Linked DNA regions of Tribolium castaneum. The protein of the gene in region 3 interacts with the protein of the main gene of each other region in a biochemical or structural test. Links are inferred from orthologs where the notes say so. Each region holds a gene or a part of one and is shown on either strand. Other genes may lie near its edges. The genes, in order: polo, peptidyl-prolyl cis-trans isomerase NIMA-interacting 1, Wee1 and Cdk1.

Evidence for each region.
Region 1: the proteins of Wee1 (region 3) and polo form a complex in vitro, tested with the Homo sapiens proteins (2 studies listed by BioGRID, with this or other methods). The link is inferred for Tribolium castaneum from reciprocal best matches to the Homo sapiens genes WEE1 and PLK1.
Region 2: the proteins of Wee1 (region 3) and peptidyl-prolyl cis-trans isomerase NIMA-interacting 1 form a complex in vitro, tested with the Homo sapiens proteins (2 studies listed by BioGRID, with this or other methods). The link is inferred for Tribolium castaneum from reciprocal best matches to the Homo sapiens genes WEE1 and PIN1.
Region 4: of the proteins of Wee1 (region 3) and Cdk1, one has a biochemical effect on the other in vitro, tested with the Homo sapiens proteins (5 studies listed by BioGRID, with this or other methods). The link is inferred for Tribolium castaneum from reciprocal best matches to the Homo sapiens genes WEE1 and CDK1.

The regions. Positions count from the first base shown.
Region 1 is NC_087398.1:11,007,514-11,012,331, forward strand, and holds the start of polo (serine/threonine-protein kinase polo), read right to left. Parts: upstream 3,295-4,818; 5' UTR 3,160-3,294; coding exon 3,067-3,159; intron 3,014-3,066; coding exon 2,789-3,013; intron 1-2,788. UniProt on the Homo sapiens protein: Serine/threonine-protein kinase that performs several important functions throughout M phase of the cell cycle, including the regulation of centrosome maturation and spindle assembly, the removal of cohesins from chromosome arms, the inactivation of anaphase-promoting complex/cyclosome (APC/C) inhibitors, and the regulation of mitotic exit and cytokinesis.
Region 2 is NC_087394.1:12,589,416-12,592,838, reverse strand, and holds peptidyl-prolyl cis-trans isomerase NIMA-interacting 1, read left to right. Parts: upstream 1-1,689; 5' UTR 1,690-1,792; coding exon 1,793-1,847; intron 1,848-1,900; coding exon 1,901-2,104; intron 2,105-2,153; coding exon 2,154-2,374; 3' UTR 2,375-2,627; downstream 2,628-3,423. UniProt on the Homo sapiens protein: Peptidyl-prolyl cis/trans isomerase (PPIase) that binds to and isomerizes specific phosphorylated Ser/Thr-Pro (pSer/Thr-Pro) motifs.
Region 3 is NC_087401.1:8,448,039-8,452,875, forward strand, and holds the start of Wee1 (wee1-like protein kinase), read right to left. Parts: upstream 3,114-4,837; 5' UTR 2,990-3,113; coding exon 2,647-2,989; intron 1-2,646. Other genes in the region: prenylated Rab acceptor protein 1, read left to right, coding at 3,369-3,442, 3,489-3,698, 3,747-4,047. UniProt on the Homo sapiens protein: Acts as a negative regulator of entry into mitosis (G2 to M transition) by protecting the nucleus from cytoplasmically activated cyclin B1-complexed CDK1 before the onset of mitosis by mediating phosphorylation of CDK1 on 'Tyr-15'.
Region 4 is NC_087401.1:17,534,606-17,538,506, reverse strand, and holds Cdk1 (cyclin-dependent kinase 1), read left to right. Parts: upstream 1-2,015; 5' UTR 2,016-2,223; coding exon 2,224-2,897; intron 2,898-2,954; coding exon 2,955-3,201; 3' UTR 3,202-3,268; downstream 3,269-3,901. Other genes in the region: CCT6 (T-complex protein 1 subunit zeta), read left to right, coding at 1-597, 1,391-1,542, 1,593-1,808; transmembrane protein 53, read right to left, coding at 3,519-3,680, 3,729-3,857. UniProt on the Homo sapiens protein: Plays a key role in the control of the eukaryotic cell cycle by modulating the centrosome cycle as well as mitotic onset; promotes G2-M transition via association with multiple interphase cyclins.

The DNA.
Region 1 (4,818 bases), on a different chromosome or scaffold from region 3:
CTAAAGTTTTAAATTTGAAATAAAATTAATGAATTAAAAAAAAACATTTTAAAAAATACAATAATCTTTACTTCTTGTAGCTATGTCTGTCCTGTGCTCTAAGCTCCAGTTTAGTTGAATTGGTTGGCAAATTTACAGATTAAACTTTTTTCACTTTCTTTTACAGAAAAACTGTCAATTTTTGGTAATTTCAGCATTATATCAGATAAGTTTGTAGCTACTCATTTTACACGACACTTAAAATATAAATTTTAGGTAAATAAATTGTTAAAATAAAGTACGACAATTTACATCTTCACTTAACCAACACTCTTTAAAGAACTAAATGAGAATAACAAAATCCGAGCTGATTATAATTGGATATAATTTAATTGGTTGTAGGTAAAATAAACCTTTTGTGCCCTTATCGTTGGTGACTTTTTTATTTAACATTTTGTTGTGAATTTGTAACACGTTCTGTCAATTAATGCTTCGACTAACGTAGACATTTTTATGAATTCGTAGTATTATTTAGACCGTATCGCTTTACAATTGCAGACTATACTTTACAACAATCGCCTATTGCCTGGGATAAATTTAGAAACAATTTTTTTCATTAAAATTTGAATCGAAGAGCTCTTGAAGCTTGCGGGCCCTTTTAGGCTCCGGGCCCGGGTTCCACGGAACCCCTGTGGATACGCCACTGGTGTCAACCACTCGCAAACACAACATGCTTTTCGACTAAATGCTGTGGTTTATCGGCCTATTATAACAAAATTTTGCTAAAAAACGCGATAAATCGAAAAAAACTCAATGTCTATTTATTTTGTGATTTTTACGAGTCTTTTAACAAGTTCTAGCAAAGTAAATCAGTCTGAACTTAGAAAAATATAAGACAACTTCAATTTTGATCTAATTCGGAGATGTTTCATCCATTTCTCGGTAAATTTTTCGAAAAAAAAAAAAAACTCAAGAGTTGAAGAATACTAAAGTAACACCCATTTTAGTAAAATTAGGTGACTTTTCGGTCTGTTTTTTTAAACGTGCTAAAAAAAGACAAAACGAAATAATTTTAGATTTAAATTTTTAATTTTCGGTCACTTCTAGCAAAAAAAATAGAGATTTTAGCCCTAAAACATGTCTAAATACTCAAGAAAGGCAGAAATAACGTTATTTTTGATCAGAATTTATTGTTGTAAAAAATTTTTGAGTATTAATTAATAATTGAATCTCTGGTTAAAATATTCTAATTTTTACCTACCTTTAGCAAAATTTTTCTAAAAAAAATTTAGTTAATATCTCAAAACATGTTTAAATATTCGAAAAACTCAGAATTCACACAATTTTCAGTGTGACTTGGTGAAATTTCGGTTTGTTCATTACAAAATACCATTTGGAAAAGAAAAAAGAATATTTTACTCAGCTAAATTTAGAAAATTCATAAGAAACTCCAAACACTTGCTTAGAAAATATAAAAATAACACACTTTGCGACCAAACTTTTATCTTTTAAGCTTACTATTGATGAAATTTCGCCCAAAAACGTGATAAATCGAAAAAAACTGACATCAATTCCAAATAAATCAGCCTCGAACTAAAAAATATAAAATAAAAATTTCGATATATTCGGTGAATTTTCATCCACTTTTAGGTATATTTTTTGAAAAAAACTTAATTTTTAACTCAATGAAAGTCGAAGAACACTAAAATAACACCCATTTTAGTATATGTTTTGGGTGACTTTTCGACTTGTTTTTAAGAGATTTCGCGAAAAATTTGCGTTGCTGGTGAAAAAAAAAAAAACGAAATAATTTTGGATTCAAACTGGTAATTTTTCGGTCTCAAAAAACAGGTTTTAGCTCTAAAACATGCTTAAATGCTCAAAAACAGGCAGAAATAACATTACTTTTGATTAAGATTTATTGTTGTAAAAAGTTCTTGTGCAATAAATGAATCTCTGGTTGAAATAATCACATTTTCGCGTAAATTTTTCTAAAAAAAAAACTTAGTTTTTATCTCGTGTACACAATTTTCAGGGATAATTCCTTTATTGGCTGTAAATGGAAAAGGAAAAAAAATGTTTCAGTAAATTTAGTGATTTTTACAAGAAACTAAGAATGTAAGTTCAAACACGTGTTTACTGGCTTGGAAAAAAACGAGCAAAATCGAATAAAATAAGCTAAATTAAATAAATTTCGCTTTAATTTCATGATTTTTCAGCTAGGAAGCTCAAAAGATAAGAGTAACACAATTTTATCAATAACTGTGTTTGCTTTCTGAAATATTTTCCAAAAAACTTTGGCAAGCACTTTGTTTACTTGTAAATTTATCAAAGGTTTTAAGGAATACCAACTAGGGCCTAAGGTACCAAAGTCATCTACGAGCCCCCATCATAGCCCCCATTCATAATTTACCCTTCTTATTTATGTACAATAAAAATGGTATTTTAATATAATTTTTTTGCTACAATCTTTTCCATTACGACTTGAGTCAAAAGAGGTTTTGAAATTAATAAACCTGGAAACTGTAGTTAGAACTACCTCCCTAACTTAGAAACCCAAGTATAAGCGCCACAAGTGATACCAACATGAATAATTAATTATACAAACTACAGTGTCTTAAAGAGGTGGACTGTTGTTTAATTTACCAATTAATTTAGCTCTTTGTTTGTGCAACCATTGGCCATGACAGACATCAGTTTAAATATTAGTTTTGGTGATAAAACTATCAATATTATAGTTTCCCATAATACAGAGTGAGCAGCGATAACAACCAGGAAACAGACGCAGTTTAAAGGGCCAAAAACTCACCCGCTTTCTGCACAGCTCCAAAACTATATAAATATTGTCCGTATCCTCGAAAAAACTATAAAAACCGACAATATTTTTGTGTTTCAACGACTTGTGTATCTGTATCTCCTGAGTCATTTTCTCCTTCTGGTTTTCCTTGACTATCAGCTTTTTCGAGACGACTTTCCCGGCGAACGTTTGGCTGTTGGCCACATTCGTAATTTCGTAGCATTTTGCAAATCCGCCCTAAGAAAAAACGGCCACTATCACATGAACCCATCGACAAAAACAACACTAACCTTGCCGAAGAACTGCCCCTTTTTGTACCTAATTTTCGTGTTCTCGTCGTATATATAGTCGGGAACTACGACATAATCGTCCACTTTCGACATTTTCACTAATTACTCCTAGTTTTATTCACAGTTATTGCGTTTGGTTGGGTTTTTACGGCAAGCATCCACCACGGCTTGAAAAACTTTTGGCAGTTGAGAAGATTTCAAACGCCGGCAGCTGATTGGCTGATTGGACAGGAAAATGGTGGGGAAAAAAGAATTGTCAACGGAAGTGACTACTTGCAGAACGCGATCTCTAACCACCAAACAAAAATAGACCACAATAAAATACACAAAGTGGTTTATATTGACTCAACAACTTTGGTTTGGTCGATCAAAAATTGGGCCAAACGCTGATCTTGACCGTATTTTAAATTTAGTCTATCAAAACATTGATTTATGTGTTATGCAACTCACAAAATGCTTCTGCTGAGGGCGTTGCCTAGCTAACAACCTAACAATTAATATTAAAAAAAAACTAAACAGAAATTTATACAGGACTGTAGGCCGCGCATTCAGGCAGGGCGAAGGCCTACTCCTAAAATTCTTGTTCTTCCTAGACAAATTTTATACGTTTTATAAAAATTTATAAAATATAAAATTTTAACTTTGCGTTGTCTACACTTTTTCAAAAACACCATAAACATGTACGTATTTTTATTTTTGGGGAAGTCAAAACTGCAAAGCGTCATCTGTTATGCAACATCGAATGTGTATGATTTATGAGAACACTGTTTTTTCACAAAAAAATAAATCTGGCAATTATTATTACTGCACTTGGTTTTCGAGGAAAAAAAAAGGCACACGGGAAATTTATTTTGACTTATTTTTATTAGAGTTTAATAATAAACGAGAAAATGTTTGACGAATACAAAGTGTTCTGTCTAAACTAAGTTTCGGAGTATTGAAAAAAGTACTGAAAGTTTTGATAATAACATTTATCTGAAAATTAGCCTAGAGCCATAGCTCATTGATTGAAAATATTTTCAAAATGGCGGCACTTCCGATTGTATCGAAAATCGCTATGAACTTTTTTATTAGCTTTTTCCTATTCCTAAATTTAGCTATTTTCTAAATAATCAGAATTTTTTGGAAATTTTTGGATTTGCACCTTTCACTTCAATAATCGTAAATTCTGCTATTTTTAGAATTTTAGAAACAGTATTTGGCCAATCAAAAACAAAGCCTAAATCTTTCCTTCAGTGTGTTCAAAAAAGTTTACAAAATCCAAAATCTTAACGTTATTTTTGGACAGCTTCTACATGCTATAAGTTTTTATTTCACTAAATAGAAGAAAATTTAATTCTGCAACGATCTGTGTTGGCATTTCTTATGCTTATTTGTGATAATTTTCAAGTTATGTTAATTTTTTTGACATTGCTAGCCACAGATATTTTTGCGCAGTTTGACAAAGAAACATTTCATTGAATAAACGATAAATTCTGTTCAAAATTTTGTTTTCCTTTCCGTTAAAACAAAATGAATTCATTGAATTTGGATTTGAAAAACTTTGATTCCATAATTTCATTTACCTACATCCCTACATACAATATCAACAAAAAATCCGCATGAAAACTGTTAAACAAAAGTATAGGAAAAAATGATGGCATTTCATTTGAAAATTTTTAGTTATGGGTGTTTGAAGTTCTGCAAACTTAAAAATCTTCTTAAATACTGGAGGTATTCTTTTGGGAAAAAAACTTCAAAAAAATTTGTCTT
Region 2 (3,423 bases), on a different chromosome or scaffold from region 3:
TAACCACTGAATTAAATGACTCAACAGAATTATTATCGACATCATACAATAGACTTGAAGATAAATTTGCAACTCGTTTTAATGCCTGCATGAACAACTCAAACAAGTAACTATTTTTAAAGTCAGAATATGCAACTGCATTTGTTATTTGACCAACTGTTTTACAAAAATACGTAGCGCACTTTGAATGATTACCAAAAATATGTGCAGGTCCATTTAAAATATCATTTTTCAGGTTTTCTGCTTTTTGATCGAAAGTACAGTTTTCGTTTTTTCTGTATTTTATCGCTGAAACAATTGCGGTTCTAAATTTCAAATAATTGTTGCGCAAAAAAGTTTTTATATTTATGTCAGAACGAGGAGTTTTAGCGATTTCTCTAATTTTAGTACAAAAATTTCGTAGTATATGATTTCGGCATTCAATTTTTTTAATAAAATAATTAGGCCCGTATGGTCTTGCATTACGAATTTTTTTGTAGACGCTACTATCACCATCTCCTATGAGGTTTTTAAATCTTACGTTATGCATGTCTACTGATTTTTTAAATCCATCCAAAATAATTGCTGCTTCCATTGAAGTTGAAGTGTTTTTCCAATTTTTAAAACATTTATGAGGGGGCGTCGTTTGGTTTTTTTTCTTATAATACATACATTTTTTACAATTTTTATTTTTAACTCCCACGTATAAAATTTTTTTAGTCCTTGCACCGACTATTGTTGCAACACCAGAAGATGCGTTATATTTTAAAGAAATACACAAAATTTATATAATGTAAGAGTAACGCAGCTATATCTTCGCAAGCTAGTTATAGAAAAATTGTATAAATTTAATAAAAAAACGAGAAATAATTCCTAAATTCTAAAATAATACATAATTATAAAAGTATCATTTATTTTACAAGGCGTAACGTAAACAAATTATATCCCTAAGACTGGATCTTACAATCTCTCGATACGTTATTTGTACTATAATTATTACTGGGTATAGTTAGAATAAATTTTTACAACAATGTATTTTTCAGAATTTATTACCTGGATAAAATTATCAGACGAAAAAGCGGGTTTAATGAAGTTTTCATCATTTTAATGAGATATTCCTAGTAACTTTTTTAAAGTTAAACTGTTTTCTGAAAGAACAATAATGTTTCACCAATTAATTTTTTTATTTTATATTTTTTCAATGCAAGTGATCCAATTAGAAATGCACATGACACATAATATAGCGAACAGAATTCGGTTAATTAAAACATAAAACCCAATAAATAAATGGTGTAATGGTGTATTATTTTTTACAAAACTATGCTAGTATTTTATTATTCTTTAGTATCAAATTTTTTTAACAAAATAAAAAACGTCTTTTTTACTGTATGTTGCTTGAATCTCTGAAATAAGAGAAACTATCGTGGGCGATAGTGGAATTCAGTTTGTTTACATTATTTGCATTTTATGAGAAGGGACAAGACACCCCGAGGCGAAGGTCGGATGCCTATCCGATGATTGACAGCTGTCACTGAAAACAGGTCTAAAAAAGTATGCAACTTGTAGTACACCAATTCTCAACAATCGCTTCGGTACCCTGAAGCCTTAAGAGAAGTTTGTGTTTTTCAGTTTTTCTCAATATTGAACGTCTTTAGTGTTGGCAACCAACCATACAATCGCTTATTTTGTTGGTGTGAAAGTGGTTTGTGTCCGGGTATTTCCGGAAACTGAAGGAGCTAACTCGTGTAGCTGTCTTCACAGAAATAAAGCCTCGAGTGAAGTTAGCCGATAAATAAACACGCATTCTAGGAAAATGGCGGACGAACAGTTGCCTACTGGGTGGGAAAAGCGGTTAAGTCGGTCAACCGGTAATTCGGTTAAGTTTTAATCATTCTCCCTTGACTCAAAACGTGTATTTTAGGCCAACACTACTACCTGAACGTTTACACCAAAGAGTCCCAATGGGACGTTCCCGACAAACCGGCAGAACCTGTGTCTTCGAGCGGCCCCGAACAAGTCCAGTGCTCACATTTACTCGTCAAACACAAAGACTCGCGAAGACCGTCCTCTTGGCGAGAGGAGAACATCACAAGGACTAAAGACGAAGCCTTGGAATTAGTCAAATGTGAGTGTTTTTGGCCAAGAAATGTCACCACTTTTGAACGTTTTTTCAGCGTATCGCGAACAAATCGTCCAGGGCAAGGCCTCGTTTGCTGACTTAGCCTCAAAGTACTCGGATTGCTCGTCTGCTAAACGAGGGGGCGACCTTGGCTCGTTCAAACGGGGGGCCATGCAGAAGCCCTTTGAGGAGGCGTCGTTTGCGCTCAAGGTTGGGGAGTTGTCAGAACCTGTCTTTACCGATTCGGGGGTGCATATTATTCTGCGTACTGTTTAGATTTGTACTCTTTCTAGACCATTTTTACATTTATTATAAGTTCATTCATGTTCTTTCAGGTCTTGTTAACGTAATTTATGATGCATCTATGCCAAACAAATTCATATTTATATATATTGCGATGAGATTGGAGCTGTAAATTTAGTGTAAATTTCTTTTATATTGTACTTTTTACTTATTAATGAGGTAACTTATTCCTGATACTTTTGTTATTTTGTTTATGCACAATAAAGAGCCCTAAGCACTCCTGTTAGCCCGGATTTTATTCCAGAATCAAAAGTAAAACATTTGCTAAGATGCAAGCATAATACAAGTGAGGATGAGAAGATTTAAATCAATAATAGGTAATAACTATCTTTTATTTTCAAAGTGCCTTTCGCGTAGTTACAATAGTTCGAAACTACTAATACACACAGATTTTTTTACACAAAAAGTATTGTTGCAACGTTTTGCTTGTACACCATTAAATTTTATTGAGATTACTTCAAACCAGGATGTAGTCTTTCAGACGAACCGATCGGTATCGTAAATATCTTTTGGTCACCGTTGTCGAAACATCTTATTTTGAGGATTGTTTATCATAAACAGCATTAACTGCTGTAAAACGTTATGGTGTAACTACAAAGAAAACGATGCTTCAATAATAATCAATACAGGGTCTTCCACGTAATTTTACAAGGCCTGCGCCTGTAAAATGCAATCAACAATACATATTCCAATACGAACTCGATTACAAATTTTGAAAGATTGGATCTCTAGCTTGTTCATCCCTTCAAAAAATTGCAACACTTTTAATTAGTCGGTGATTAAGTTAGGTGGATTAGAATCATATTTATTCCGTTTCTTGTTAGAACACATGAAAATTGTTTCTGAAAAACATTTTATGAACATTAATGAAACAGTGATTAGTGCCCACCTAAAAAATCTCTACGATATTTTGAATACTTGCAACTTTGCATAAACATAAATTACATTCTAAAAATAAGTAACCGTTAAAAGATTGGTCCATGTTTTTTTGTAAAAAAAGTGAAAAAATTTTGTTAAAAAAA
Region 3 (4,837 bases):
TAATAAATATCAAATAATAAGTTAAATTAGATTATAATTGCTCACAATGTAACAAAATTCCTCTATTTTGATTAGAAGAATTAAATTAAAACTTCTCAGAGTTTATAAAGTCTTTCGTTTCTCAGTGAGTTACAAAAAAAATGTGGATGATCTTCGTAATTTAATTCGAATCTAAATCTGATTCAAAATCCTTTTTATTGGTTTCTATAGAAACCAATCAGTTTTCTAAATCAGAGGGCTTTATTTCAAAAATCAAAGAAAACGAAACTTACGTTTTTTTAACTTAATTTTTTTAACCTTTTTTACAAAAAAATCATGAACCAATCTTTTAACGGTTACTAATTTTTACGTAATTTATGTTTCTGCAAAGTTGTAAAAATTCAAAATATCGTAAGTTTTTTTAGGTGGGCAAATTTTGTTCTAATTAATAATTGTTCTGAAATTGATCCCAAATCTATTTGCCTAATTTGCTTTTTAAATTTTAGTTTTTAGCAAGTAAACATTTCAGTATCAGTGAGTACTTTGTGAAAGCAAAAACTGGTTTAAACAGAAGCATCTCGAAATAAAAAAAAAATAAAAACAACGGCATTGCCTATTTTTCTTAACGACAGTACACTGCATACAGTCGGCTGTCCCAAGCAAAAACACAGCAACCAACAATTTTTTAACACTTTTTGCTTTATTTTCACGCTTAAATTCATTTTTTTTTTTAAACAGTAACTGCAATAGAACATTCCTTTTCCAAAGTAAATTCCACAAAATATCTTAGAGACGATCGATTGTACTCCATATGTTTAAGTAAAAATAACTCATATACACGGTGAGTTAATAGTGGGTTATTTCTGACATGTGCTAAAATGCAACCAAAAATACTATGGTAGCGCTCAGCTCCATTTGCGTGTGCGTCATCTGACATTTCTGTCACTACGTTTACATAGCAGGGCCATAGCGGTGACAAACTATCAAATATTTTTTGAGGTTACGAAGTGTTTAAATTAAAAAAATACAAAAAATACAGATTCACAAAACAAGAACTAATAAACGCAGAATCAAAAACCTAACGAAACGCAAATCCCAAAACACAATAAACGAACGAAAAATACTTGCGATTAACACCGATAACACTTTCGACAACCATGCGACGACGTCTATGATTTACTGTCAATGTCAGGTTGACAAATTCGTGACACTTAACGGTGTTGTCGAAGTGCACATGTATATTAATGTTCAAGGATACCACCCTTAGATACCCCTTAGTTGTTTAAATTTGCATTGTTTTTGACAATTTTTTTACAGCTTTGTGTTGGTAATGAAAAAATGAAATTGATGACGCACACGCAAATCGAGCTGACCGCCACTATAATTGCACTTACCACTTGGAACTTTGAGTTTTAAAAACATTAATTGAATCATCATTGGATTTTTATCTTTTAAATAATAATATTCCATAATGAAATTTTAACAAAACTGTCAAGACAATCTTGACAATATCCAGAACAATGTAATCTTGGATTATTTTTTTTAACGATTACCGATCTCGTTAGCTGGAATCGGTATTATCGGTTGCATATTTATGAAAATTCAGACACAACCCACTATTGACTCACCCTGTAGATGTAAAAAAGCTATATTTTATAATTTAATTATCAGGAAATACAATTTACATAATAATATCACTTTTAATTGAACTTTTAGTTAGTTAGATTGGCCACATCTCTCTATCTTGGGTTATTACATAAATTTATCTCGTAAATGTTAATATTTGTAATATTATTATTAATTACTTACTGTTGTACTAAAAACTGCTTGAAATTGTAACAAGTGTTCATTAAAAAAACACTCTAGAGTGAATTGAAATTAAAAATCAATTATTTTGTATGTCTATGATATTTCGTTCTCTCATAACCTTACTTTATGACAATTAAAAAGACAACGGATTTTCATAAAAATATTTATTATTTATCAAAACTGTTGGGAATGTATTTCTTGTTGTTCAATACACATAACAGATCGACTATTTATCAATTTTGGTTACAAATTCTAATGAGCTGGTTTCGTAGGCAACCAACAATACAATGATAAAAATTGCTCCAAGACATCCGTAAAAATATCAGGCAATGCTGGGAGTTTTTTTTAATAATGAACATCTGATATTTGCTTTAAGTAGTAGCATTGAGTATTGAAGTAGTAGTATTAAGTAGTATTTGTAAAAAGTGAGCCAATGAAAACACAGTATATGGCAATATAAATTTTTTACGTTATTTTAGATAGTATAGTACTCACGTCATAAATTGCCCTTAAAAAACGATATTTTTAAGTTAAACAATTTGGGTAAAGAGACATTCTAAAAGACTGGTTAAATAAACTACTTTTTGAAAAGTTGTAAACATAAAAAATATGTATAAATGCGGCTAAACATTGAATTAACAACCACATAACTTTCTCTAAAAGTTATTTTTTTTTAATTTGCCACTATTATAGCAGGACGGCAGATGATTTATCAAACTTTACATTATTGCCCTTAAAATAGGAGCAAGTTTTTGCCATAATTTCTTTGGTGAAATAAATTCATTGAAGTTCCTGTTACGACTTGCCATGGTGCTAAAAAACAGGAGGCGCCCCTCAATGAAATAATGAAATCGTTACCGTTTGGTGTGAAGGGGTTGACGTTGGCCACCGGCTTCTGCTTGGTGTTGGTGACACTGCGCGGCTTCTCCGTGAAGAGCCGACACCTGGGGGCCGGCGTCGTGGCCGACTTCTGTATGATAGTCTTGGGGGTGAGAGGGCTGTCGAACAGTCGCAGCGCTCGCACCCGCTTGTACGGGGGGCTGTATGTCGGGTTGGACGAAGCTGAACGCCTCGGTGAGGGGCTGCGTACATAGTCACTCGAAAGTTCGAAAGACAGCTCACAACCTGACGACGAGTCCAGATCGTTGGGGGGCTCCGAGTCAAACGTGATCTCGGGAGTCTTCCGGCGCACTTCAGACATTTCTCACGCACAAAAAACGCCCAAAATTCGCAAAAAAACAAACACACGCTCTATTTTCGACACGGAAACGGTTACGAAAATCGACGCATCTGGGGTTTGAGTCGACCAATCACAACGCGCGAAGCTACGCGCTGATTGGCCGCGGGCGGACGCCATTTTAGTGTCAATTTGACGACGGCGCGAGGTTTGAAAAGTGACACGTCGGTGGTGTTTGAATCACCACAACTGGGGCTCATTTACTTATCCACTGTGTCAAAGACGCTCAGAGGGGTGACTGATTTGTTATTGCAAGGGTGGGCGACAAATTTGGTGATAGGTAAGCCACAAGTGGGCAAGTGACAGGACTGGTGACCTAATTACAGAAAACAGCCCCCTTGTCATGGCAGACGTGTCCGTGGATGTGTCGGGGGTGATGTCGCCCCCTGAAAATTCACCACGGACCCCGTTTTCAAGGTATGAGATTTTTAAGCGACCTAACCTCAATTCTAGAATTTTCTAGTTTTCTGCAAGTTCCGACCCAAATACCGGACCCGAAAGAATGGTTTAGTAAACAAAGACAAAACGTGCGTCCCTGGCTATTATTCATACAAACTTCCAACTTCAAGACGCCCCCTTCAGTCCCAAGACTCAGCAAACGAATTATGAGAAACATCGAGTACTTCCAGAGCAATTATTTATTTGTTTTCCTCGGTTTGGTTGTTTATTGCTTGTAAGGAGCCCCTCAGTGTGAGCACCAACCCCAAAATTCTACTTTCAGAATAACCTCGCCTTTGATTCTATTCGCCCTTGCTGGGACTTTTTACGCAGGCTACAAGCTTAACAAAAGGCACCAAGAGAAGAAAATCGTGCTTTTTAAAAAAGAATTGACTTTGGCACAAGTTTATGGAGTGGTAGCACTATGTTCCATGCCAGTTTATTACATGGTGGGGGCCCACGGGGCCATGTTTTGGGTCCTAGGAGCCTCATTTTTCCTTATTACTTTACATGCCTCGTTCTACAACATCGACGCTGTGATCGCGCAAGGAGAAGACGGTTTTCCGCTCTTAGAACAAGTCTAATTTTGTACAATTTTATTAAATGTTTTACCCGCCCTGTGTCAATTCAGTCACGTGACCCGACTCACACTGCTCATTGGCGGAGGCCATGGCAACGCCACCACGTGATGAGTGTGTCAAAAAAGCCGTGTAAAATTTATAGAAAATACGTTTATTTTTCGTAAAAGCCAAATTATATTATGTACTGATATTCTTGAAGAAGAAGAAATTTATCTCTTAAGATTTGAACTACTTTTATACCCGATAAAACGGATAATATACAATAATTATATATAACAAACTCGTAACTAACTAATTAATTAATGCGAATTGAAACAACATCCGAATTAATTAGAGCCAGTGTGTGAATCGATGTTTTTTTTAATATATAACTATAGCTTGTTATTTTATGAAATATTTTCCCCGCCTTGTGTCAAATTCAGTCACGTGACCCGACTTATGCCGCCCTATTGGCGGAGGCCATGGCAACGCGACCACGTGACGAGTGTCAAGGACGCGATTGGCGGTGTGCATGGCAACGCGACCACGTGGATGGGTGTGTCAAATCCAAAGCCGTGTCAAATTTATAGAAAATATGTTTATTTTTCGTAAAAGGCAATTAATATCATGTACTGATATTTTCCAACTAGAGAAATTAACTGTTTGTACAATAACTATTTTGATAAAGGGGTGGAACAACCTAAATTTATGTACAATAAACTGAAAAATTAATTAATTACCTGACAACAAAACGGAAGAAATGCGCCCCGTTTGGCAAACTCATAACTAATTAATGCGAATTGAAACAACAAAT
Region 4 (3,901 bases), about 9.1 Mb from region 3:
TGCTTGATCACGGCTCCAGGCATCCAGATATGCCCAAAAGGTTGAAAAATTGCTACATTCTCACGTGTAACGTCTCAATGGAATATGAGAAAAGTGAAGTCAATTCGGGTTTTTTCTACAAAACGGCAGAAGAACGCGAGAAGATGGTTCAAGCTGAGCGTGAATTTATTGAACAGAGGGTGAAAAAAGTCATTGCTTTGAAGAAAAAACTTTGCGATGGCACTGATAAGAGTTTTGTTGTTATTAATCAGAAAGGGATTGATCCAATGAGTCTTGATCTTTTGGCCAAGGAAGGTATAATGGCCTTAAGACGAGCCAAAAGACGCAACATGGAAAGATTGGCTTTGGCTTGTGGTGGAATCGCTTTAAATCATTTCGATGATATGCAAGAATCGCAATTGGGTTATGCTGGAGTTGTCTATGAACATGTTTTGGGCGAAAATAAATATACTTTCGTTGAGGAATGCAAAATACCACAGTCGGTCACCATTCTTATTAAAGGGCCCAATAAACACACTCTCACTCAAATCAAGGATGCTGTGAGGGATGGATTAAGGGCCATCAATAATGCCATAGAGGACAAAGCCTTGATTCCAGGTAATAAAAAGACAAAACTGAATTAAAAAAAAATTAAATTATCCTTTTTATGAGTTTCTACATGGGAATTTTTGCTGAATTTCATCATAAATCTCCCAAAAAATCACCAAATTTGTGTATTTTTTAAATTTTGTAGTCAAGAATTGTAAAAAATCTAAACTATCGTTAAATTTAGGCCGTTTTTCAAGCATATTTGCACAAAACTACAAAATTAAGCCCAGCATTATATTATTTTTGAACTTTTTTTAAGGTTCCAGCGCATTATTTTTCAGTCAGAAACTCACTCATTTCCCGAAATTAACAAAATATCTAGTTGCTTAATGGATGACGTCACAGTCATTTTGTGACGCGTCTTAAAAATGTGCGTTACTAGGCTTTGAAATTGTAAATAGGGGTCAATGACCTGACCTGGCCACACAATTGTTAATTTATTAGACTCACAATGCGTTTTCCGTTTAAAATAGAGCTCAAAAATTGAATTTACGAGTTGCTTCAACTACTCCCATCACCAAAAACCCAACTTCGGTACTTACTTGTCAATGTTGAAAATCGCCGTTTAGATCAACACATCGGAACACTGAAAGTCTTTGAACACTTTTGCACAAACATTTGCACGAAATAACCGATTTAACAGCGATTTTTCCCGAATTTACTAAGCGGTAAGCGGCCATCACGAAATTTGATGCACCGCCAATTGTTTCGCTACCAACCGTACCAATAAAATCACTAAATGTCATAGCGCTTAATTCAAATTGATTTTGCACACAAAACAGTTTTTTGTGATATTTTTCAGGCGCAGGGGCTTTTGAGGTGACCGCCCACAAAGAATTGATGGCTTACAAGGACACCGTTAAAGGAAAATCGCGTCTTGGAATTGGTGCTTACGCGGAAGCCCTTCTTGTAATTCCCAAAGTTTTGGCAACGAATTCTGGTTTCGATGCTCAGGTTTGTGTGATTTTCTCATTGATTGTTTTATAGTTATTTGTTGTTCTTAGGATACTATTGTAAAACTTCAAGAAGAATCTCGTAACAATAAGGAACCAATTGGGCTTGATTTAGCTTCAGGACAACCGATTAATCCGAAAGATGCCGGAATTTTCGATAATTACATCGTGAAGAAACAAATAATTAATTCGTGTTCGGTGATTGCAAGCAATTTATTGTTGGTTGATGAAATAATGAGAGCCGGAATGAGCAGTTTGAAAGGTTAAATGGATTTTTTTTGTCAGTAATTTTATTCACGTATTAATGCTTGATTTTGTAATTATTATACAACAATAATAAAGGATTTTAACACCCATTTTTTGGCCAAAGCTATTATTTGGCGATCGTATAGTAATTTTGTGTGTCTGAAGTTGGTAATGTGTGTCTATTTACGCCAAAAAAAAGACAGGTTATTGTGATTGACGTGAGTGCGATAGAGACGGGGATAATTGTACCCGATTGGTTGGTTCAAAAATCTCCAACGAACTTTCTCCATATTTCTTCAAACGAGCCGTTAAAAGTGTGTAAAAATTAACAAAACTCGTGTGCTTTGAATAAAATATCGTGTTTGTGGTCGTGTAGGCATTGCAATTTGACGTTATAAACGTCATTTTAAGTGGAAAGTTTGGTTATATTGGGGCAATGTCGAAACAGGGGGCCAACATGGATGACTTCCTCAAGATCGAAAAAATTGGTGAAGGCACTTACGGTGTGGTGTACAAGGGCAAAAACAAGAAGACGGGTCAGCTAGTCGCAATGAAAAAAATCCGACTGCAACCCGAAGACGAAGGTGTGCCTTCCACAGCCATTCGCGAAATCTCCCTCCTGAAGGAGCTCACACACCCCAATATAGTCTCCCTGGAAGACGTGATGATGGAAGAGAATCGTCTTTACCTAATTTTTGAATTTTTGTCAATGGACTTAAAGAAGTACCTCGACACCATCCCACAGGGCTCCTACATGGACCCCCAACTCGTCAAAAGCTACCTCTACCAAATCAACGAAGCCATTCTCTTCTGCCACCAAAGACGAGTCCTTCATCGCGACCTTAAGCCCCAAAATCTGCTCATCAACTCCGAAGGGGCTATCAAAGTGGCCGATTTTGGACTAGGGCGCGCCTTTGGGGTCCCGGTTCGCGTTTACACGCACGAAGTTGTCACTTTGTGGTACCGCGCCCCCGAGGTGCTCCTCGGCTCTGCACGTTACTCGTGCCCTATTGATATTTGGTCTCTGGGCTGCATTTTCGCCGAAATGGCCAACAAAAAAGCCCTTTTCCAAGGCGACTCCGAAATCGACCAACTTTTCCGCATTTTTCGGTAATCAAATCATGTAACTATAGAAACGAAAACAACTTGCATTTTTTTTCGATTCAGGGTTTTGAAAACACCAAGCGACGAAATCTGGCCAGGGGTGTCCACATTACCTGAATATAAGGTTACGTTCCCTAATTGGAAATCATGTACTTTGGAAAGTCAGGTAAAAAATATGACTAGCGACGCTATAGATTTGTTGAAACAAATGCTGATTTATGACCCGGCCAAGAGGATTTCGGCCAAAAAAATCGCTTTACATCCGTATTTGCAAAAGGTTGATACGTCAATAAAGCCGATCCTTAAATAAGCGGTTAGGTTTAGGTTTATCGTGTTTAGTATGACTATTTTCTAAATATATTTGTTTAAAAAATCTTTTGTGTTTGAAAACCTCCTTAATACATCATGCACGAGCTGCACGTGTATATTGCTATGGTGATGCGTCAATGTAGCTATGGTAACAGTGAAAGGAAATGCGGGACAGTGGCGCAACATAAAGCAGATCATTTGGGAACATAGTTTTAATGAAACAATTGAAATAAATACATTTTGTGCAATTCAACAACGTCTAGAAAAATAAATTGTACCCTAAAGTTTAATTAAGCGTTGAAATGTTTTTTGTGTGAATTAATTTGTGCCATTTAGGCATTTATTTAAAAAATTGCATACGCTACTCACGTAACTTTCTTTATTTTCGGTGTAGTGTTTAACATGAGGACTTGTTTCGTAACAGAGAGTTGTTACATCGATACCCAGAGATTTTCGATAGTTGGCGAAATATTCAATATCCTTGAAAAAAAAAAAAAGATGATTGGCTACAATAGTTAAGATGGTTACCGTATAAGGAATAAGAATGTCTTTTTTCGAGTAGATAAAATGTTGGGGACAGTTGTTTTTATCATCTTTCAAGTTTTCTAACGGGTTCGATTGGAACGTTTTTTTCGGACTGATGTAATTGCTAACAACCTACAATAATAAATCAAGGAATATTTAAAGTTTTTGGTGCGAAC